4 linked regions of the Caenorhabditis elegans genome follow. The protein of the gene in region 1 purifies or fractionates together with the protein of each later gene. This does not show direct contact. Each region holds a gene or a part of one and is shown on either strand. Other genes may lie near its edges. The genes, in order: idh-2, wago-1, men-1 and F09E5.8.

The links.
Region 2: the proteins of idh-2 (region 1) and wago-1 fractionate together in Caenorhabditis elegans (co-fractionation; one large-scale study listed by BioGRID). This does not show direct contact.
Region 3: the proteins of idh-2 (region 1) and men-1 fractionate together in Caenorhabditis elegans (co-fractionation; one large-scale study listed by BioGRID). This does not show direct contact.
Region 4: the proteins of idh-2 (region 1) and F09E5.8 fractionate together in Caenorhabditis elegans (co-fractionation; one large-scale study listed by BioGRID). This does not show direct contact.

The regions. Positions count from the first base shown.
Region 1 is NC_003284.9:11,214,065-11,218,671, forward strand, and holds idh-2 (Isocitrate dehydrogenase [NADP]), read left to right. Parts: upstream 1-1,935; 5' UTR 1,936-1,941; coding exon 1,942-2,097; intron 2,098-2,141; coding exon 2,142-2,219; intron 2,220-2,281; exon of another isoform or gene 2,282-2,415; intron 2,416-2,497; coding exon 2,498-3,027; intron 3,028-3,072; coding exon 3,073-3,224; intron 3,225-3,274; coding exon 3,275-3,485; intron 3,486-3,784; coding exon 3,785-3,965; 3' UTR 3,966-4,086; downstream 4,087-4,607. Other genes in the region: C34F6.7 (uncharacterized protein), read right to left, coding at 1-7, 57-176, 1,048-1,263, 1,327-1,405; C34F6.9 (USP domain-containing protein), read right to left, coding at 4,413-4,571.
Region 2 is NC_003279.8:7,233,445-7,239,315, reverse strand, and holds wago-1 (Argonaute protein wago-1), read right to left. Parts: upstream 3,933-5,871; 5' UTR 3,909-3,932; coding exon 3,744-3,908; intron 3,698-3,743; coding exon 3,117-3,697; intron 3,073-3,116; coding exon 2,340-3,072; intron 2,292-2,339; coding exon 2,116-2,291; intron 2,073-2,115; coding exon 1,897-2,072; intron 1,855-1,896; coding exon 1,508-1,854; intron 1,462-1,507; coding exon 1,222-1,461; intron 1,182-1,221; coding exon 874-1,181; intron 829-873; coding exon 717-828; 3' UTR 524-716; downstream 1-523. Other genes in the region: dhp-1 (Dihydropyrimidinase 1), read left to right, coding at 82-232; R06C7.2 (BEN domain-containing protein), read left to right, coding at 4,815-5,137, 5,188-5,212, 5,256-5,443, 5,491-5,656. UniProt on the Caenorhabditis elegans protein: Argonaute protein which is involved in the endogenous small interfering RNA (endo-siRNA) pathway. Interacts with secondary 22G-RNAs, which are RNA-dependent RNA polymerase-derived endo-siRNAs, typically 22 nucleotides in length with a 5'guanosine residue.
Region 3 is NC_003280.10:14,227,824-14,235,696, reverse strand, and holds the start of men-1 (Malic enzyme), read left to right. Parts: upstream 1-1,841; 5' UTR 1,842-1,893; coding exon 1,894-1,919; intron 1,920-3,420; coding exon 3,421-4,322; intron 4,323-5,329; coding exon 5,330-5,793; intron 5,794-7,026; coding exon 7,027-7,359; intron 7,360-7,873. Other genes in the region: jmjd-2 (Lysine-specific demethylase 4), read left to right, coding at 242-403.
Region 4 is NC_003280.10:5,349,050-5,352,526, forward strand, and holds F09E5.8 (Pyridoxal phosphate homeostasis protein), read left to right. Parts: upstream 1-1,619; 5' UTR 1,620-1,626; coding exon 1,627-1,712; intron 1,713-1,763; coding exon 1,764-1,863; intron 1,864-1,915; coding exon 1,916-1,996; intron 1,997-2,049; coding exon 2,050-2,130; intron 2,131-2,175; coding exon 2,176-2,360; intron 2,361-2,543; coding exon 2,544-2,614; intron 2,615-2,754; coding exon 2,755-2,885; 3' UTR 2,886-2,944; downstream 2,945-3,477. Other genes in the region: F09E5.7 (PI31_Prot_N domain-containing protein), read left to right, coding at 3,060-3,125, 3,173-3,335, 3,381-3,477. UniProt on the Caenorhabditis elegans protein: Pyridoxal 5'-phosphate (PLP)-binding protein, which may be involved in intracellular homeostatic regulation of pyridoxal 5'-phosphate (PLP), the active form of vitamin B6.

The sequences.
Region 1 (4,607 bases):
CCGTTTGCTGTAATTTAAAATGACAATTGACCGCGTTTTCAGGAAAACTTCATTACCAATCAAAGCGACAAAAAGCACTGTGAACCACATCCAAGGATAATCCAGAACTGATGGAAATCGACGAGTGTCAGCTGCAGTCATCAAGATGTTTCCATGCACGAAGTAGGCAGCAATGACTGAAATTGATTTTTCTAAACAATAAATGCAGAAACGTGATGAAAATTTAAAAAAAAAACTCTATTTGTCTTTCAAAATATTTATTTCAAGTCTTATTCAAACTCGAATATTAACAATACTAAATTATTTTGTGCGCATATGTTTTAATCAGTTCATACATATGTAGAAAGTAAAATAGATCTGACGAATCGATTCAGTTTCAAATTAATAAGAGGGTACTTAAACGCATCTGAGAAATCCTAAAATTTGGAATTATATATTTTGAAAACTCGTTGAAGGAGGAGTAACGGCCTTGGCTATTTTGAACTTATAGGCTCAAATAGTGCTTAAATGAACGAATTAGGTAATGAGACTCATCAAAAATGTTTCAAAAAGCTTTATGGCGGTTCAAAATTTGGAAAAATTATGAATTTTGCTTACTTTGCTGTGCCATTTTGAAAGTTTATCACATTATTTGGTTGATTAAGATTTTTTTCAAGCCGATAGGTTTTTTTTCTTAGGCCGATAGGTATCAGGTATAAAAAATAACCGAAATTTTTGAATGTACCTTAATTACCGGAATAAAATGAGATTACCAATATTTTTACATTAAAAAATTCGTTCATTTGAGCACATTTTGGATCTCTACGTTTAAAGTTGTCCGAACCGTTAGCCCTCCTTCAAGCTATTTCATGAGTTACTAGATCCAATTGTATTCGTATTGAATTTGTAGTCGAAGCTTTCATTACTAAACAATGTTTGTCTTTTGAAATGCATTACTGAAAAAATCGGCGAGCCGTCATTTGAGGTTCAATCATTTGTCCGAAATTGTTATTTTATTTTGTAGGATTCTGTTGTCCTTTTCACTTTTGAAAAAATTCCAACACTCACCACAGGGATAGAAGGCAACAAATGCGTGAAAGAATGCCACCCGTTTTGCAGCATACTCCACAAAGTCGTGCTGTCTTGAATTATATAGAATTGTAAACAAGTCAAAAAGTGTGAGCCCGAGTCCGTCGAGCAGTTCCTCCGGTGGGAATACCAATGCAAAGTGGGCCGCTGTTAAGATAGCTATGTGACTGACCACGTGAAGATATGTTAGCTGAGCTACAAAGATTAATTTTCTTTATAATTAATGAACAATTCATAAATAATTTTAAAAAAACTCACTAGTAAATTCACACGTAATGGCTGTAAAAACTCCGAGTACGAAGATGAAAAACCATGTACCTCGTTTTATTGAGGTCATCCTGAAAAATGAAGCACATTAAAAGAAAGAACAGAACGAAAAAAAAACTAAATATAAGCTTTAAGCATGAAAGAAATCAATAATAATTGAGATTCCACGTAATGTATTTGAAAATCTTCATCTAAAGCGACGTTCTCTTCTCCTTCCATTCTGTCCGCAAAAGTGCGTCGTTTTCTCTGCCTGCGTACGTAGCCGGGAAAAGGGGACCTTGAGTTTTTTGTGGACTATGATGCGAGGATCAAACAGTTTGCACCAGTACACTATCGACCCAGCCTTCTATCCTATCCTCCGCCTGTTTGTTTCATTCTCTGACCCTCTATAATCTCTCCTCCTTCGGAATCGAATCAGCAAGAACGACCTGGCAATGTATCAAGATAACACGACAATTCCTTGTCCTTCTTATCAAAGTGACCGTTTGCGCGTACAAACGATGGCTGCATTTGTTCCATTTTGTTGTTTTTTTTAACGTATGAACTTGTTTCAAAGACATTTTCTTAATTTAATCTATTTTATCAAAACAAATTATTCAGGTAAAAATGTTAAGCCGTCTGACATCACGCAACGTACTTCTTGCTCGCAATGTGGCTACTGCAGCAACTCAGGAACGGCAGAAAATTAAAGTGGATAACCCAGTTGTCGATTTGGATGGAGATGAGATGACGAGAATCATCTGGAAAGAAATTAAGAATAAGGTGAGATACTATACACCAAATCTCTGAGGAGTGCAAATTTTCAGTTAATTCTTCCATACCTGGATCTCGACATCAAATATTATGACCTTGGTCTTGAATACAGAGACGAGACAAATGATCAGGTGAGTTTTAAAACCAATGTAGTATGACGGTTTGATTGATAGTTCGCGTTTTGATAAAACTAAAAGTAAACGATAACTTGCATTTATTGAAACATAAAACTGGTTTCCTTTTCGATTGAATAGGAATTATCCTCCAGTGCAGAAGTATCTGGAAAATTACCCTGTTCATCACTTTTCCCAGTTCCATTAAGATTCTAGGCTCGAATATATAGTTTTCAAATACCGCCCACGTGTTGCCACTACCAGATGCACTAAAATATTGAAGTTCAAGTTTGCAGGTCACCATTGACGCAGCCCATGCAATTCTTGAGCACAGTGTTGGAATCAAATGCGCCACAATCACTCCGGACGAGGCTCGCATCAAAGAGTTTAATCTTAAGAAGATGTGGCTCTCACCAAACGGAACAATCAGAAATATTCTAGGAGGAACTGTATTTCGTGAGCCAATTCTTTGCAAGAACATTCCACGACTAGTGCCTGGATGGACTCAGCCGATCACAATTGGCCGCCACGCTTTTGGAGATCAGTATAAATGCACAGATTTAGTTATTCCAAGTGGATCGACCCTTCAGCTTTTAGTTAACAAGCCAGACGGATCCAAAGATGTGCATAACGTGTATGACTTCAAAAAGTCGGGAGGTGTTGGATTGGCTATGTATAATACTGATGAGAGCATTAAAGGATTTGCTCATTCTTGTTTCCAATACGCATTGATGAAGCAATGGCCACTGTATCTTTCCACAAAGAACACGATTCTGAAGAAATATGATGGACGATTCAAGGATATTTTCCAAGATATATATGAAAAGTAGGGTAATCCAAAAAAATCTCATTCAAATGTTTATGTTTTAAGGAAATATGAAGCGGATTTCAAGAACAATAAAATTTGGTACGAGCATCGATTAATTGATGATCAAGTTGCACAGGCATTGAAGAGCTCTGGAGGATTTGTGTGGGCTTGCAAGAACTACGACGGAGATGTGCAAAGTGACATTGTTGCTCAAGGTTTTTAGTCTTGCTTTTCAAGAATCTTCCGCAAAAATTATTATTTTCAGGATACGGATCGCTCGGTCTCATGTCTTCAGTTTTGATGTGTCCCGACGGAAAGACAATTGAAGCAGAAGCTGCGCATGGAACAGTCACTCGACATTATCGTGAACATCAGAAGGGTAACTCGACGTCTACAAACCCAATTGCGTCTATCTTTGCTTGGACAAGAGGTCTTCATCACAGAGGCGTACTTGACAATAATGAAGCATTGAAGACGTGAGATAACGTTCCTAAAATATTTACTCTCTAATCAAATTTTTGAAAAACTAGTCAAAAATTCAAATGTTTCTAACTTCTCGCCTTCTAAATTTGAACATAATTTAGCCGAATTGTTACAACAGATACATCTCGTTTTTCTTTCTCTTCTTTATAATTTCGAAAACTTTATCCAGCACCTGTGGGCAACTTTCACAACAATTAAACAATTTTTTGAAAACAACAGTCCCAAAATTTTTAGCAAAAAATCCCAGCAAACAAAAAAATTTGATTTTCTTATTTGAAAATTGATGTTTCAGGTTCTCCCTTACTTTGGAAAAGGCATGCATTGACACTGTCGAGGAGGGAAAAATGACGAAAGATCTTTCAATTTGCATTCATGGAACCAAGAAGGGAACCGAGAAAGGAGCTTATCTTATTACTGAAGATTTTCTGTCCGCTATTGACACCAAGATGGCAGAGCTCATGCGCCAGGATTAAAAAACACTCCATTTCGTAAATTATTTCTAGTGTATTTAGTGTTCTGATGACATTTGTACTCCATCTTCTTATTGCCATATTTTTATTTTTCAAGAAAAAATGTAAATGAAACAATTTTTATTCACGTGCAATTGACAAAACAAAGGTTAATTGGGGGAATGAAATTAAATTGAAAATGTTTGAACAAACGAGAAAATCGGAACATGGCAAGGATAAATTGCCAAAATTACTGGGAAGAAAATGTGAAATCGGGAAATGGGAGGAATTCTCTAAAAATATAGAATGAGAGATCCAAAAGTTAAAGAATGGGAACGATGTCAGAGATATGGAAGAAAAGTGGATAGTTTTAAAACAGAACATAGGATAAAAAGATAAAACAGTGCAAAAATTTAGCATGAGTTTCTAAGAAGAACATAAAATTAAAGCTAACTTAATAGGAAAATTGAACTATTGGATACTCTGACAGTGTTTTTCATTTGCAAAAACAATGTTACCACGACCATCAAAAATTATATCTGTTGCTGCATCCTTGGCAACAGCCTCCTGTTTCCGGAACATTGCTAGAACGATTGTGATGTCGCTGGACAACTTTGAGTCAAGGACAACCTGCAAACAATTTTTGTAGTATAAAATTACGTCAAT
Region 2 (5,871 bases), on another chromosome or scaffold:
AAAAAATAATCTAAAAATGTTTGATTCTTGTATTCAGACATATTCTCTCAATGGCACAACATTAACCACAATCTATTACAGAGGGCGAATTGTATGGGCTCACGGAAAACTTCAAACAGTTCCCGGATCTGGGAAATTTATTCCCCTTCTTGCGAATTCACCATTCGTTTTTTCAACTCACGAGAAAAGGGAACAGAAAATTCAACCAAGGATAGTTGAAAGGCTTGAATGAAATTGCTTTTTTATTTATTACTTTTCTTGTTCTGATTAACTTTCGAATTACCATTTTGAGTTAAAAACGTGAATAAATTGTTTGTTCAATATTGAGATTACAACCAAAAAGTAATATTTAGTCGACTAGTCAATTGACTTGGAAGCAGCTCTAGAAATGTTTAATGTTCCAATTTCAAAAAAAAATCGAACAAAATTCCCCCTCATTATCAGACAATCTTCGTTTTCACTTGAAGATCCTCAAAAAACATCGCCTCGAACTTTTACGCACAAAGCAAATCTTTGAAAAATATTATCAGCCTAAAACTTTTATCATACCGAGTTTAATTACTACGGGTCACACAGAACCACATTACAAAAATATAAAACATTTGACTAAAAAATTACAATAAAACTAGCGGAAAAACCGTAAAATTATTATCCTAGGTGACCGTAAAATTATTATCCTAGGTAAAACATCAAGTGTATGTGGCATAGCTCCAAATCTATGCATTGACGCGCTTCTGATTGAGATCGGTTTGTTTGTAGCCGATTTCCTTTGTAAGTTCCTTGAGGCGCTCGCCTTGCGACTCCTTTGCTTCAATTGGTCCTTTAGTCCTGCAAAATATAAATAAATTTTTGTTTTAAACAAAAAAAACCTACGTTAGTTCACCCCAGAGATCTCTTCCACGCTTTGCATACTCATTTGCCACATAAAGTGGAGTGGGAATCGACGTGCTCAGGGAAACAATTTGGTGATGATGACACAAAGTGAAGGTCAGCTCCTCCAGGCGGTCCATTGGAGCTTTGCAGTCGTCAGCAAGAACAGTGTACAATGGTGTCTTTGCTGTTCCTTGAAGAGTCGTGTGACCGTTCAGGAAGAACTGCTTACATGCCGGATTCGTGACAGCGTTATCCAAGACAATGCCCGGAGGAATATTCATTTCAGTGGCTTTGCCGCCCGAACGAAGCTGAAAAGTTAGCGTAAAGAGAATAATAAAACAAATTTACCTGATCACGGAAGAATCGGTAACTGTGCTCCTTAGTGACGACGATGAAAATCAATTTGATTTCTTTCGAGTAACCATGGATAATAGCTCGGGCTAATGGGATTTCATAAGCCAGAATAGAAGCGTGAGAACCCTCCGATGCACCACTTCTATAAATGATGATTCTTTTTGGCAACGCTTTGCGGTTCTTTTCGAACAAATCGATTGAATTTTGCAACACGTCTTCAATTGATGCCATTGTCTGTAAAAATTACCATGTTGTTAACTCGAACACATTAATTATTTACGTCCTGTCCGGAGGGAGCCAAAACGAAATCGCCGACAAACTCGTGATTTGCAACAGCATTTGAAGCGAAGCCAATGATTTGTGGATTAAGATGTCCCTTGTTATCCATCATGTACTTCGTTCCAGCCGGTGGTGCGGAAACGCCAACTCCGATGATCAATTGTTCGTCGGTCATGCTCTTCTTTGCATCCGAAACAGTGTAGTTAAGACCACCTAACTTCACGTTAGTTTTGTTGATGATGTTCTCCAACGTCAATCTCTTCCCATCTTTGACAACGGCATTGGCTTTGGAAATTTTCATATCCTGGACGATCATCATTGTTCTCTGTTCCAAGGCTTTGTACTGCTCTGAAATTTTCAATGAACCATGAAAACTTAAGGAAAACTTACTGTGGAGGTGAACGATTGCGTCATCAGTGATCATCAAGACATACTTGCACTTACTCGCAGCCACTTTTTCCAGCTGAGTCATAATTTTTTCCGTACTGTAAAGTCCTGTTTCACATGGTGGCTTGATCACCATGCCTTTCTTCTTGCAAGAATCAATGAACATTCCGACGAGTTGGCTTAAGAATTGAATTGATTCATGTAAATTTCTATTTGTCTTACTTGACATCTCCAATGGAGAATCTGCAACCTGGATTTCCAACAGCGTAAGCAGCCCACAAATCAGGAACAGTCGCAGGCTTCACAAACCATCCTGGAGGCGCACGCCATTTTCCCATATCCGACATTACCGATCTCTGGTATACAAGTTCTTTTCCATCAAGCTCACGTGCTTGGACCTGGAAAAAGAAAACAAATATATTTTTTTACAATTTACACAAACTAACCATCAGAGGCTCCGAGTAAACCTTGATTCCAAGAGCGACGAGCAACTCGTTTTCGAGTGTAATGTTGACAGCATTTTTACCAGTGATGATCATTCGCTGACGGACATCCGGAAGAACCGCGCACTCCTTCGTTGTCTTTTGAGATTGATTTCCCGTTTGCTGAGGAATGGTGACACGTTGATTTCTGGACACAGTCATCAGTTCAGCCGGGAAGTAATTGTTGTTGCCTCGATCCTTACAAACCACCAAATTGGCGTTCGGATACTGTAGACTGATCTTGTATTTGTCCGCATAGTACTCGGCGATTGAACAAGTTTTTCCATCGGGCAACTCAAATCTGGTCTTTGTGGCACTTTCGTGAAAGATACCTTCGATTCTTAGATGGCGCTTTCTGTTGGTATAAGTCGAATAGCAATCAAGTCCTTTAATCACTGCCGCAGCCTTCTCACGGGTCATATTATTGAGTCCATTTGAAGGATCTTGTCCCGTGATGTCGAACAGTTTTTGGATCACAGTTTGCTCTTTGTGGAAAGCAGCTTTCATACCATCAATCACGAGAGATGGATTGTTCTGTCCGCGACCATAAGGACCCTCGATGAATTGAATCGTCTTCTTGAGGCCAGGATAAAGTTGTTTTCCGTCTCCTACGTCGACACAGTCTCGTTGATCGAATCCTTCTTCGGTGGCGTTGAGGAAATATACTTTTCCGTGCTCGAAGCATCCGAAACGATTTCTAAAATGAAGCGATGCTTTTAATAATTTTCGAAATTCACTTACGTTTCTCTCACGCAATGTTGATTCAGAGCAAGTTCCAAGAATTGAGTGTATTCTCGATTGTTTACTTCAATGTTTTGATCCGCAGTACGCTTGCCCAGATTTTCAGAAGAGAGCGTGATAGAGTTGTCCCTTGGGGCATAAATCTCGAGAGAAATGCAAGGCAGGGTCTTAAGGTCGTCATTGCCGGTATCAGCTCCGTTGATTTGGAAGACTTTGGACTTCGTACCGTTGGCATCCAGTTCTGAGAACAAGTTGACCGTCGTGTAGAGAGTTGATTGACCGTCATATACAATCTGATTCCCATCCTTCATTTTGAAGAATTCCGGGTTCTTCTCAACCGCAAGGAAAAAGATGTTGCAACACTTATCGCGACGATCCTGAACGACGAAGTCCTCCTTTCCTTTTTTAGTGAAAGTCACTTCCTTTGTTGAAGTCAAATCGGCCTTTGCGTGAACCATAAAACGATGAACTGTGGTTTCCTTTGTGACTTCAATTCCGAAGACATTGGTTTGGATGTCCACTGGTCTGCCCATTTTTCCAGGTTCGGTTGGCTTCATGTACATTTTCGCACCATCCTCAACCTGCAAATATGGCATTAGAAAGATCTTTGAATGCTGATAAACATACGTTTAACTGTTGTAAACGCTTGATGCATGCGTCGTTGCCAGTGCTTTGGTGAAGCTTTTGAGCATCGGCTGGAACTGGAGGCATTGGAGTCATAGCTCCTGGTGGAGCAGTGACTGGTGGCATTGGAGGCATCGGTGGATGCGGTTGTGGTGGATGAGGAGACATCTTATTACTATTGCAATATTAGTTCTGAAAAAAGCTTATATAAATAATATTCTGCACCGAATAAGCGAGATTGGAGAACATCTATAGAAAATTATGAATTTGTGAGATATTTAACAATAGTTTAAACAAATAAATCAGTTTTCTTCAAGAGATCAATCTAGAACGAAAATGGTACGTTATGAAGAAAGGGCAAACTACGGAATTTTCGTATTGCCGACGAAAAAGAATAATGATTCGAGATTTTTCGGTGTTTCAGAGGCGGCATAAAAACAAATAACGACTAGATTTGTACAAAATCATCATTATTAATGACGCAAGAATACAGAATCCGATAATTGGCGGCTAGATCAAATGTAGATCACTTTTACATTTTTAAGATTCAACGAGCAAGTTTCTTAAGATTTTGTAACTAGATTATTATTAAAATATAAAAATAATCTTGAAAATTAACAAAAATTATTGAAAACTGTCACAAACCGGAAAAGAATACAAAAAACAATTTCTTCGTCCTAAAAAATTTAAATGACAACGCATACAGTACATAAGAATGGAGATCGCTGCGAGACCCACTCAGTGTTAAAACGAACGCTCCTTGAATTTATTTTTGCTGTACAGCCTTATTTTTCTCCTTTTTACAAGTATTGTGTGCTTTCCATGTTTTAAAAAGTGACTTAGTTGTTAATTTTATTTTGAATGATACTCATCTAATTCAGGCTTGTAGCTTAGATCGCAATGAAGTTAATCGTTTGCAACCTATGTGGATTCCCGCCAGCAAGAAGGCAATTTTACATCACCACCTGCTCTCACATCTTGTCGAACAACGCAGACTGCTGGATTTTGTTATTTGTGTAAGGTCCCTACGAAAACTCTTAAAATAGATGGAAATCTGCCGAAAATGTGCGGAAAATGTTCAGCGCTGTACATCCCGATTCGCGACGTGACTGTAAAAAGTACAGATATTCTCAAACGTCTCACCAGAATTATTGGTTTTTAAAGTATTCAGAATTCAATTTATTAGGAAAACGAAAAATAAAAGGTAATTTTTTGCACTTGTTTCATGCAGAAGAAAAAGTTTTATTTCAGTCGGTGATGCTAAAAGATCAAACGGCGAAAACAGAGAAAAGGACACAGGAAATCACATGCCAACTGTCGAAGCTAGCCAATTTTGAGGAAAATAATCGAAAGAAGCTTCAAGATACTGAACGCGAGAACAAGAAGCTTCGAAATTTGTAAGTAGTTTCTGCACGAGATTAAATTTAACATTTTTTTTCTATTTTAGAATCAATTCCCTTGAACTGAAACTTGTCAGTTCTCCTGTTATCGACAATAACGATTTTTTTATTCAAGGAAAATCTACCTCTTCAAATCCTTTTTTTTTTAATCTCGGAAAATGACGAATTGCTCGAACGTGTATTTCACTTCCATTGTGCCACCTTCACCAAATTGTCAGACTTCCAACTTCTTTTTTTTCCAACACCAATGTATGTTGCAAATGAGTACGCGAAGAGTGGTCGTAATTTGTGGAATGAAGCCATGTGAGTTTAAGAAAATGACAACAGTTGATATTAAAATATTTTTGCAGCATTGCGGATGCAATTCCCGAAGTTTCTGGACCAGAGGCAGCTCGTATGAAGCAGATTACCGATAGCATCAAATACAAGGAATCCGGCTTCCTGATCGACCGTCGTGTCAATGCTTCAGCACTAATAATTCAATCAAATTGTAGTATTTTCAATTCCAACTTCTAGTTTGTGAGAAGCATACCATGATTTTTTATTTGTATCCCACCCTGTCATTCTTGTTTTTGCGTTACATACAATGCGTATCTAATAGTAAGTGGTGTAACTGCTAATTTCATTTTCCCCCGTTGCCCTATTATTGTTTTGACCTACGTGGAAATTGATTTTTTGTTGTTGTTGTTGAGTGCAGATTATAGAATGTAGCCTGTTGTTATGTTAAGTTG
Region 3 (7,873 bases), on another chromosome or scaffold:
AGCTAAAATTCAGCTGAATATTTCAGATTTTTCGGGAAAAATTCATTATAAACAGCCGAAATTCAGATTTTCCCCTTTAAAATCACGATTTTTCTAGGGAAAACTCAAGTCTTCTAGTCATTTTTAATGGGTTTTCCTGTTTTTTTAAATAAATTATAAATAAAGAAAAAGCCCGGAAATACTATAAAAAAGTCCTAAAAACCCCCAAAAAAATCAATAAATTCCCCAATTTGTTTTGCAGGTAAAAGTAGTGTGGGACGACAAGCAAGTCTACGACGCGTACTTCCGTGGAAAAGGACAGATGATCGAGTACACGGTCCGACTGGAAGATGGCCGAGAAGTCCGCCATCCACGGAACAGGCTGAAAACGAAGCGAGAACTGAACGCGTATCTCAAAAAATAGCTTTAATAAATAAATAAATATTCGATTTTTTAAAATTTACTATTAAATAGTCCCTGACAAAAAATTCTTGTCAAAATGTAATATATTCTCTCTTTCCCGCCCGTCTACCCTCAAATATGTGATCTCTGCGCCTCTTTTCCCCCCAGTTTTTTTTTGTACGAAAAGTCGAAGAATCTCTAATTATCCCTGTTTTTCTGTTTTTTTTCTGTATTTTTTTGTCATTTAAATATTTTTCGCTATTTTTCCCTATTATTTTGCAGAAACTTTTAAATGTTTTCCCCGAAATTGATCAATTTATCTAATAAACCTTTTTTTTTCCAAATGCCAACACACTAATCGCATTCTTATCAAATAATTCCGTCGAAAAATCAGAAAAATTGGCCAAAGATCACTTTATCCGATTTGTTGACTTCCTGTGAACACGTGTTGAGCTGACAGCTGCGTTGGGAGTGGGAAAATATTGAAAATAACCGGAAAACTCGTTCAAAATCCAGAAATTCTCTTTAAAAAACTGTTTTTTAATGAAAAAACCTTTCAAAATCCAGAAATTCTCTTTTCAAAGCTGTTTTTTAATGAAAAAACCTTTCAAAATCCAGAAATTCTCTTTAAAAAGCTATTTTTAATGAAAAAACAGTTCAAAATCCAGAAATTCTCTTTAAAAAGCTATTTTTTAATGAAAAAACCTTTCAAAATTCGAATTGGCGCCGGTGAATTGACACGGCAACTGCGTACTTTGCGGCCAATGCGCCACATTTGACGACAATTTTTCTTTATTTTTTTCATTGATTTTCGTTATTTTCTTGAGTTTTTGTCGGTTTTCGAGAGGAAAAATAAACTAATTTCTTTATTTTTTGTGGAAAATTCAAAAAATCGCATTAAAATATCTGTTTCTTCCAATTAAAACCCCAAAGATCACGGCTAATTCGATGACAAGGCCACCTTGATCGAAAAATATCGCTATAAACAAGAAAAAAACACGGGAAAACATCATTTTTCTCGCTTTTTCTCCCTCTTCCCTCCTCTCACCGCATACTTGCTCCCCCAAGCACTCATTTCGCCGCCACTCGAAGGAAAAACGATTTTCCATCTTACTTTTTGAAATAAAAATTCATTTTTTCAAGAAAAGAGTTCCGCCCGTGTTTTTGTTTTCTTTTTCTCCCTGCGTCTCTCCGCTGAGTGCAGATCTCTCGCACATAGTTTATCCCGAAAGAATACGTGGATCGATAGACGACGGGCGCCCCCATTTGTGGCTTCTCAGGCAATTGTCTCTCCAGTTTCACCGCGAGTTTTCCCGAATTTTCAGGTTTTCCATAATTTTTTCTGAATAAAAATTGATAAAATGCACTCATTTTTCTTATCAATTGTCACCGTTTTTATTTCACGTGTTTCAAAAAAAAAAGTTTTTATCGAAATTTTACATTTTTCCGTCTCATTTCAGAATCAATTCTCATTTGCTCTTGGGTTTCACAACCGTGCGGGAATCACGAAAAATGCTGAGCCGTCTTTCGCCTGCCAGGTAGGGAGGATTTTGCGTTGAAATTAGCTGAAATTCGAGAAATGTATTAAAAATGACTAAAAATTCAGATTTTCCCGGAAAAATCCATTTAAAACGGCTGAAATTCTGCTTTTCTCGGAAAAAATTTATGAAAAATGGGTGAAATTCAGATGGTCTCGGCAAAAATGCGTAAAATATCGATTTTTCTGCGAGAAATTGCAGAAATTGAAATTTTTACAGGTTTTCGTTGAAAAAGTCTACGAATTTTGACGAGTATTTAAAAAATTTGTAGATTTTTTCGATAAAAACCTATGAAAATTTCAATTTCTGCGATTTTTCTGCGATTTTGCCCAATTTTTCTTGGAAAATCTGAGTTTTAATCATTTTAAATTTATTTTTTCTAAAAAAATCTGAACTTCAGCCATTTTAAATGGTTTTCTCCGGGAAAATCTGCATTTCAGCCATTTTACTAGATTTTTTTCCGAAAAAGTCTGTATTTCTGGCATTTTGAATGAATTTTTGACATTTTTTATGGTTTTATTCCAGAAAAATCTGATTTTTAGCCGCAGTTGGTGGATTTTTCCGAAAAAATCTGAATTTCAGCCAATTTTTAATGGATTTTTTCCGGGAAAATCTAAAATTTCAACATTTTTAAAATGAATTTTCCGCCATTTTTTATGCATTTTTTCCTGGAAAATCTGATTTTAAGCCATTTGTAATCAATTTTTTTTCGGAAAAATCTGAGTTTTAGTCATTATAAATAGTTTTTTTTCTGGAAAAACAGATTTTTCGCTATTTTTAATGTATTTTTCCGGGAAAAAGTCTCAATTTGAGCCGTTTGAATGAGTTTTTCCAGGAGAAATCTGAATTTTCGCTATTTTCAATGGATTTTTTTTTGGAAAAAACTGAATTACAGCCGTTTTTAAGGGATTTTTTCCGAGAAAATCCGATTTTTAGCCATTTTTCATGAATTTTTTTCGGAGAAAATCTGAATTTCAGCCGTTTTTAATTGATTTTTCTGGGAAAGCTTGATTTTTAGCCATTTTTTATATTTAAAAAATTTGAGTTTCAGCCATTTCAAATACATTTTTTCCGTGAAAATCTACTGTTTTAGTCATTAAAAAAAATTTTTTCCAAAAAATCCGATTTTCAGCCTTTTAAATGGATTTTTCCGGGAAAATCTGAATATTTAGTCATTTTTTATGGATTTTTTTCCGGAAAATTTGAAATTTAGCCGTTTTAATGGCATTTTCCCAGAAAAATCTGAGTTTCAGCCATTTCGAATACATTTTTCCGTGAAAATCTACTTTTTAGCCATTTTAAATAGTTTTTTTTCTGGAAAATCTGAATTTTAACGATTTTAAATAAATTTTTTCCATGAAAATCTGAATTTTTAGCCATTATTTATGGATTTTTTTTTCCGAAAAATTTGAATTTCGGTCATTTTAAATGGGTTTCTCCGGGAAAATCTGAATTTTTGCCATTTTTTTCAATGAAAAACCAAAAATCCCCAAATTTCCAGCATCCGCCGTCTCTCCACATCAACACGATGCCTGAGCGACAAAAACGAGCCGGATCTCTCCGATCCCAAAACTCTGGCCCTTCACAAGCTCTACCGCCCGGAACGCACCACACCCCAGAAGCGAGGAATCGACCTGCTCAAGTCGCCCGGGCTCAATAAGGGAATGGCTTTTTCCCTCCACGAACGTCAATATCTCGGAGTTCACGGGCTTCTGCCACCCGCATTTATGACCGAAGAGCAACAAGCCTACCGTATCATCACAAAACTCCGCCAGCAACCTGACAACCTTGCCAAGTACATTCAATTGGACTCGTTGCAGGATCGTAACGAGAAGCTCTACTACCGAGTGCTCTGCGATAATGTGAAGGAGCTCATGCCAATTGTGTACACTCCTACCGTAGGACAAGCCTGTCAGCATTTCGGATTCATCTACCGTAACCCAAAGGGTCTCTACATTACTATTAATGATAATAGTATTAGTAAAATCCATCAGATTCTTGCAAATTGGCCGACAGAGAACGTCCGAGCAATTGTGATCACTGACGGAGAGCGGATCCTCGGCCTCGGCGACCTGGGAACCTATGGAATCGGAATTCCCGTTGGAAAACTTGCACTCTACGTTGCGCTCGCAGGGATTCGCCCGGAATGGTGTCTCCCGGTGATTCTCGACGTGGGAACTGATAACAGCGAGCTGCTCAACGATCCATTCTACACGGGGCTCCGTAGAAAGCGTGTTAGAGGTCCCGAATACGATACGCTCGTCGATAATTTTATGAAGGCGGCCACGAAGCGGTTCGGACGGGATACGCTGATTCAATTTGAAGATTTTGGAAATCAGAATGCGTATCGGTTGTTGGATCGGTATAAGGGAGAATATTGCATGTTTAATGATGATATTCAAGGTAGAATTTGGCAGGGGGGAAATTGAGGAAAAAAAGCGAAAAAATCGGAGAAAAAGGCTTTAAAATGCACATTTGAGAAAAAAAATTGCATTTTGGCCGAAATTTTTCAAAAAAAATCTGAATTTTCACTGTTTTCAAATATGAAATTCAGAATCAGCATACTTTTATTGCCCTGTGCGCCAATTTTCAGCTCATTTAGACGAAGAAATCTCGTAGAATCTGGTGTCTGGTACGCAAACACCGAAGCGCTGCGTACTTTCGGGGCTACAGTAACCCGGATATTTTCAAAATTGAGCTAGTAACTCGAAAAAAAAAGTACAGCCCGGGGTGAAGTTTCACGGGAAACTCGAATTTTGGAGTTTCAAAAAAATAGTGAAGCAAATTTGAGGGGATATATTCCTTTATAACTTTATATTTTAACTGCAAAATTCCGCCGTAAAAGTTTTCCGTAAAATTTCTTTACCCCTAGCCATGTAATTATTTTGGAGTCTCTAGCTCAATTTTGAAAATTTCCGGGTTACTGTAGCCTCAGAAGTACGCAGAGCTTCGGTGTTTGCGTACTTGGCACCGGATTCTACGATATTTCGTTTAAATGAGCTGAAAATTGTTAATTAAAGTATGCTGATTCTGAATTTCGGGTTGAAAATGTCGGAAAATTTCGGGAAATTTCGGATTTTTCTGGAAATTTCAATTTTTTAAAGAGAAATTTTGCTTCTTTTTTTTTTTGGGAAATTTTAATTTTTTGAAAATTTCGATTTTTTTGACCTTGAACTTGGAAATAAAAGTGAAAAATTGATTCTAAAAATAATAGTTTCCCAGGAAATTTGGATTTTTTCAATATAAAATAGGAAACAAAAAAAAAAGGTCTTTAAAAAATAGTTTTAAAAATTAAAAATTAAAAGTTCTTTTGTTTTCAGATTTCAGATTTGAAATTTTTGATTAAAAAAAAAAATTAAAAAATAGTTAGAAATAAATTTTGTAAAAAAAATTTTTTTGCAAATTTCCAGGTACCGCCGCTGTCGTCGTCGCCGGCCTGCTCGCCTCAACTCGTATCACCAAGAAGAAGCTCTCCCAGGAACGGATCGTCTTCCTCGGAGCCGGTGGAGCCGCCACCGGAGTCGCCGAAATGTGTGTCCGACAGATGATGGACGAGGGATTGTCGGAGGAAGAAGCTTGCGGTCGGATTTATATGGTTGATATTGAAGGACTCATCACGACGTCTCGTAGTAAATCTCTTGGCGAGAGACATGTGAAATTCGCTAAAGATCTTCCGGATACCAAGAATCTGCTGGAAGTTGTGAAGACTGTCAAGCCTGGAGCACTCATCGGAGCATCTACGGTGGCTGGAGCATTTACGGAGGATATTATTAAGGAAATGGCTCGGCTGAACCCGAGGCCAATCATTTTTGCACTGTCCAACCCTACAAGTAAAGCAGAATGCACTGCGGAGACGGCTTATCGCTGCACAAATGTACGGGATATGTAAATTTAGAGAAAAAACTGGAAAAATATGGAGAAAATCTGAATTTTTCAGATTTTTTGAGCTGAATTTACTGCATTTTTCATGGAAAAGTGAATTTTTAAATTCAAAAATTCGCCGTTTTTCAGATTTTTCCAATGAAAAGTTAGTTAAAAATTATTATTTTCCAGCTTTTTCATGGAAAAAAAATCAAAAATTTTTAAATCCAAATGTATAATTTTCCGGACTTTTTGTGTTAAAAATTAACCGTTTTTTTTTCAGATTTTCCATGAAAAAATGTTTTTTTTTTCAAATAAAAAACTTAAAAAATCTCAATTTTTACAATTTAGAGCCATTTTTCAATGAAAAACCTGAAAAATAGTAATTTTAAAGTCGCTTTTCAAAGAGAAATCTGGAAATCTGAAAATTTAAATTTTAAAATCTAAAATATATATCAATTTTTAGAATTTAGAGCGGTTTTAAATGAAAAATCTGGGAAAAAAGTAATTTTTAAATAGTAATAAAAATAATAACGAAAATTGGAAAAAAAAACTGGAAAAATATGGAGAAAATCTGCACTTTTTTAGTTGAGAAATGTAGAATTTGCCAATTTTCGCTTGATTTTTCATGGAAAAATTATTTTGAAATTCAAAAATTGACCGTTTTTTTTCAGATTTACCTTTTAAAAAGTGACTTTATAAATCAAAAATTAACCTTTTTTAATTGAAAATTAATATTTTCCACGGCAAAGAGAATATTTTAAATTTATTTTTCTTTAAAAAATCTGGAAAATGCCAATTTTAATTAAAAAAAAATCATTTTAAAATAATGTTTTAGTTTTTAATTTATTGAAGTCAATTTTATAATTTAAAGTTGCGTCGTTTTTTCAGATTTTTTACGGAAAAATGATTTTAAATTGAATTAAATTTTGTTTTTTAACAGAAAAATCTTTAAAAAGGTACAATTTCTTCCAATTGTAAGTTAATTTTTTCGAAGAAAATTGTGGAAAATGTCAATTTTAAAATTTATTCTTTTTAGATTTTTAGTTGAAAAAATGATTTTAGAATTTAATAAAAATTTATATTTTTCAGCTCTTTCGTGGAAAAATGATTTTAAATGGAATTAAAATTAATTTTCTATGGAAAAATTTGGAAAAATGTCAATTTTTAATCTTAAAAATCATTTTTCAATGAAAAATCTGAAAAATCAGTTATTTTTCCCTCCAAAAATACCCAATTTTTGCAGGGAGCCGTCCTCTTCGCCTCCGGATCCCCGTTCGAAAATGTCGAAATGAATGGAAAACTCTATAAGCCAGGACAGGGAAACAACGCCTACATCTTCCCGGGTGTTGCTCTCGGAGCCGTCCTCTTCCGTACCAAAAACATTCCGGACAAGCTGTTCCTTCTGGCCGCCCGTATGGTCGCCGAAGCCGTATCGGAGAAGTCGTTGAACACGTATTCACGTGTATATCCACGTCTGAAGGATATTCGAGAACTTTCGGTGAAAATTGCCGTAGAAGTTGGCGAGTATTGTTATCGACACGATTTGGCCACTTTGCACCCGAAACCCGATGATATGGTGCGGTTGTTTTTGAGTGGAAATTTGAAAAAAAAAAACGTCGGAAAATTTCGATTTTCCTGCAATTTTTAGACATTTTTTGCTGAAAAAAACATGAAAAACTGTTGAAAAATACCAAAAAAAAAAACTTTTCCCCGAAAAAAAGTGATTTTCCTCACTTTTTAATGCAAAAAATGGCCATGTGTCGATTTACGCGAATCGTGTACTCCTCGGAGAGAAAAGCAATTTTTTGAGTGGAAATTTGGAAAAAATCGGGAAAATTTCGATTTTCCTAGCATTTCAAGCTGAAAAAACATGAAAAATGGATGAAAAACATTTTTAAAAATGACAAAAAAAGACTTTTCCCCACCCGAAAAAATTGATTTTCCTCACTTTTTAATGCAAAAAATGGCCGTGTACCGATTTACGCGAGTCGTGTACTCCTCGAGGAAAAGAATAATTTTTCATGGAAAAAAGCATTTTTAGCTGAAAAACATGAAAAAATTTTGAAAAATACCTTCAAAAATGATTTTTA
Region 4 (3,477 bases), on another chromosome or scaffold:
ATTTACGTTGCTCTTGAGAAGTTCAACAACTTCATATCTTTTTGAAAGTGTAACAGCAAGCTCATAAAGGCGTTCTTTTGATGGTGAAGAAGACATTGATGAAACTGCGATTTTTCTCATAATTAATTGCACCTAAAATATAAATTTAGTTTTGAAAAACGTAAATTTCAGTATACTGCAATTTCGCTTCTCCTCGATTCGTGATCACAATCACGACTGACTTTCACATGGCCTGTCTCAGTCTTGATACGCACGGATCCGGGGCACTTTCTCGAGTTTTCCAGTGTAACGTTACATCTGAAATAAATTAATGAAATGTGTGACAATTTTTTCCTAGCGATAATTCACCTAGCCACAATGTCCCCATTTTTCAGTGTTTCTCTCGGACGATAGCTTTGATTGTTGAAAATGACCAATGGAGCTCCTCGTTTCGTCGAAATACTGAAATTGCATAGTTTCTATGTTTAATTGTTTTAGAAGTTAGAAGGCATACCAAAAATCTGAACTATTCTCGCTGATATATTCCGGTGCCATTTCAAGCACCCCTCTTGGGCTATTGGCAATCGGTCTATAGTGCATCAGAGAACGTAACACGTGTGACTTGCTGGAATTTTATATTTTGATAGAGTTATTGATTAATAACAACCTATTTGTCAAAAACCAATCCGGATGGTATGGAGTCTCTTCGTCTTCAAACGGAGATTGATATGAATTGTGACCTAAAAATACAACGTCTGTTATTTCTATTTAATTATTAGTTAAGACCTACACAGAAGATTGAATTCACTTGTTTCCTGTAGATCGTGATCCATTTCTTCGGGAAATACAGCTGGATAAAAATCAAAAAATCTTTCAGTATTTGCCATGGAATCTGTTGTATCCAAGCTTGTTTCCTGAGTAGAATTGGCTATTGAATCGCATTCCGGGATATCGTCAGTGGATCTCGGCTCATCGAGCTCTCGAGAATTTGAAGGAAACTGCATATACGAATCAGACCGACGTGGTGATGCAGGTGGAGTAACCAGATCGATTGTTGCAGGAGTCGATTCACATACATTTGTAGTAGACGCTTTCGGATTTCTTTTCTTCTTTAGATCCCTGTCGAACGCTGAAAAATACTTTTCACTCTTCAATTAATCTTTAGACATCAATACTTGCCTCTAAAAAAGCGTTTGGCTCCGCTTGGATCACTCTCAGCATCAAGTTCTTCTTTTTTCCGGGAAGGAAACGCTCATTTTCGATTAATATTAATTTTGATCGATTCGAAATCGAATGAAACCCGTTTTTGTCATCGAAAATTCTGAAAATATCCGTATTTAGCTCGAATAAAACTAATTAATTTCCATTAAAAATCCGTTTTTAATTGAATTCCGTTCGAAATTTCCTGTTGGAAAAATAAATAAATAAATACGAAGAAGCGTGCGGCGCATTGCAAAAAGCCGTGCGGCGCATTGCGAAGGACTGTGCGGCGGGCTTGCGAAAAGGCGCGCCGCACATTGCCCTACTGAAAGCGTTCCTTACGAAAAAATCCCCTTACGAAAACGTACCCCCTCTAGAAATTTCTTATTTTGTTGTTTCCTTCCTTTTCCGTGTTTAGAACTAAATAATATAGTTTTCAGGTAGAAAATGTCTATAGAAATTGTACAAAAAAGTCTATTCAACATTATTGAAGCCGTTGCCGACGCCGTTACTGCTTCGCAAGCCACAAAAAGGTTGGTAAACCGGAAATTATTGCGAAACTAAATTAATAATGAATTTTTCAGATGTCGACTTGTTGCTGTCAGTAAAACAAAGTCTGCTGATTTAATAGAGGCATGTTATTCTCAAAATCAGCGTCATTTTGGAGAGAATTACGTCCAAGAAGTGAGAGAAAAATCATCAACAAAACTTTTGAAAATGATTCCTTATTGTTCAGCTTGAAGAAAAATCTGATGTTTTGGCGTCAAAATGTTTAGATATTCGTTGGCATTTTATCGGACAAGTGCAATCAAATAAAGTTAGTTCTGATGGAAAATTTACCTTATTTATTAATCATTTAAAAATTTTTAGATTGGAAAAATTTGCAATTCTCCTGGACTTTGGTGTGTTGAAACAGTGGAGACTGAGAAACATGCTCGGATTTTCGACAAGGTGTGTTTAGTGACTATTAATCTATTTTAATTAAATATCTTGAAGGAATGGTCAAAACACGGAGCCAATTTGTCACCACTACGAGTTCTCGTGCAAGTAAATACATCCGGAGAAGATAATAAAGGAGGAATCGAGATTGGAGAAGCACCGAAACTTGCGGAATTCATTCGAAAAGAATGCCAAAACTTGAAATTTGATGGATTCATGACTATCGGATCGTTTGACAACAGGTATATATTTATTTATTGTTACGACTATCCTACTAAAAAGTTGTTCAGTGGCAGGTGAAATGGAAATAGGTGTAAGAAATGATGAAAATGAACGTTTTATATTAATTATTACTTGTAAATAATGATCAAGCTAACAAGCGATAAATTAAATATTTACCATAAAATAAAAGTTCAATTTTACAGCCACGCAAGCGGAGAAAATCCGGATTTCGAGAAGCTCTTCAAAGTCCGACAAACATGGGCAGAACAAACAGGTGAACAGATTTTCTAGAAAAATCAAAGCGAGAACCGTCAGTGGTTGACGTCAAAAAATAAAACTTATGCTTCAAGAAATGTTTTGAAATGTTGGATCCACAAAGTTTCTAAACAAAAACTTGAAAAGTATTGATTTCAGGTGAATCTGCGGATTCAGTAGAACTCTCAATGGGAATGTCCGATGATTTCCTTCAAGCAATTCATCAAGGTGCAACAAGTGTTCGAGTGGGAAGCAAGCTGTTCGGAGCCAGAGAATACAAAAATAAATAGATTTACATTCCATTTTTTAGTTTGTTATTTTTTTAGTATTTAAAGAAAATTCACTATTCAAATTCACTTTTTTTTTAATTACCAGATTCCAATTCAGTTGCTGTTACTGTTTAAATACCTTTCTTTTGAATTGAACTTTTCAGTTCCTTCAGCATTTTTTTCAGTCACAGAATAATGGATAATTTCCGATCGGAAATTCTCAAGGAAACTCGAGAATTAATGCTCAATGAGCAGCAACATGTAGGTTAATTCTTTACTTTTAAGCAAATTAAGCGTGATTCATTCAGGAGGAAAGCATGAAATCTTGGAACGGACCTGAAACGAAAGGATTTGAATTAAAATTCGGAGGCACCAAGCGAGGAGTTCCACAGAACTCTGGAGTAGTTGGTCAGGTTTTCATCAGTGAGGATGGAGGATTTGAAGCAATCATAACTGGATATGTCATAAAAAGTAAGTTTTGAAAATAAAATTGTCAGTTATAATTCGATTTTTCAGACAGTCTCCGTTCCATCGCAGCTTCTTTCACAGTAACTCCTTCGTCTTCTCTGAAATCTGATTTGTCGGAAGGTCTTCATCCACTCGTGCTTGCTAT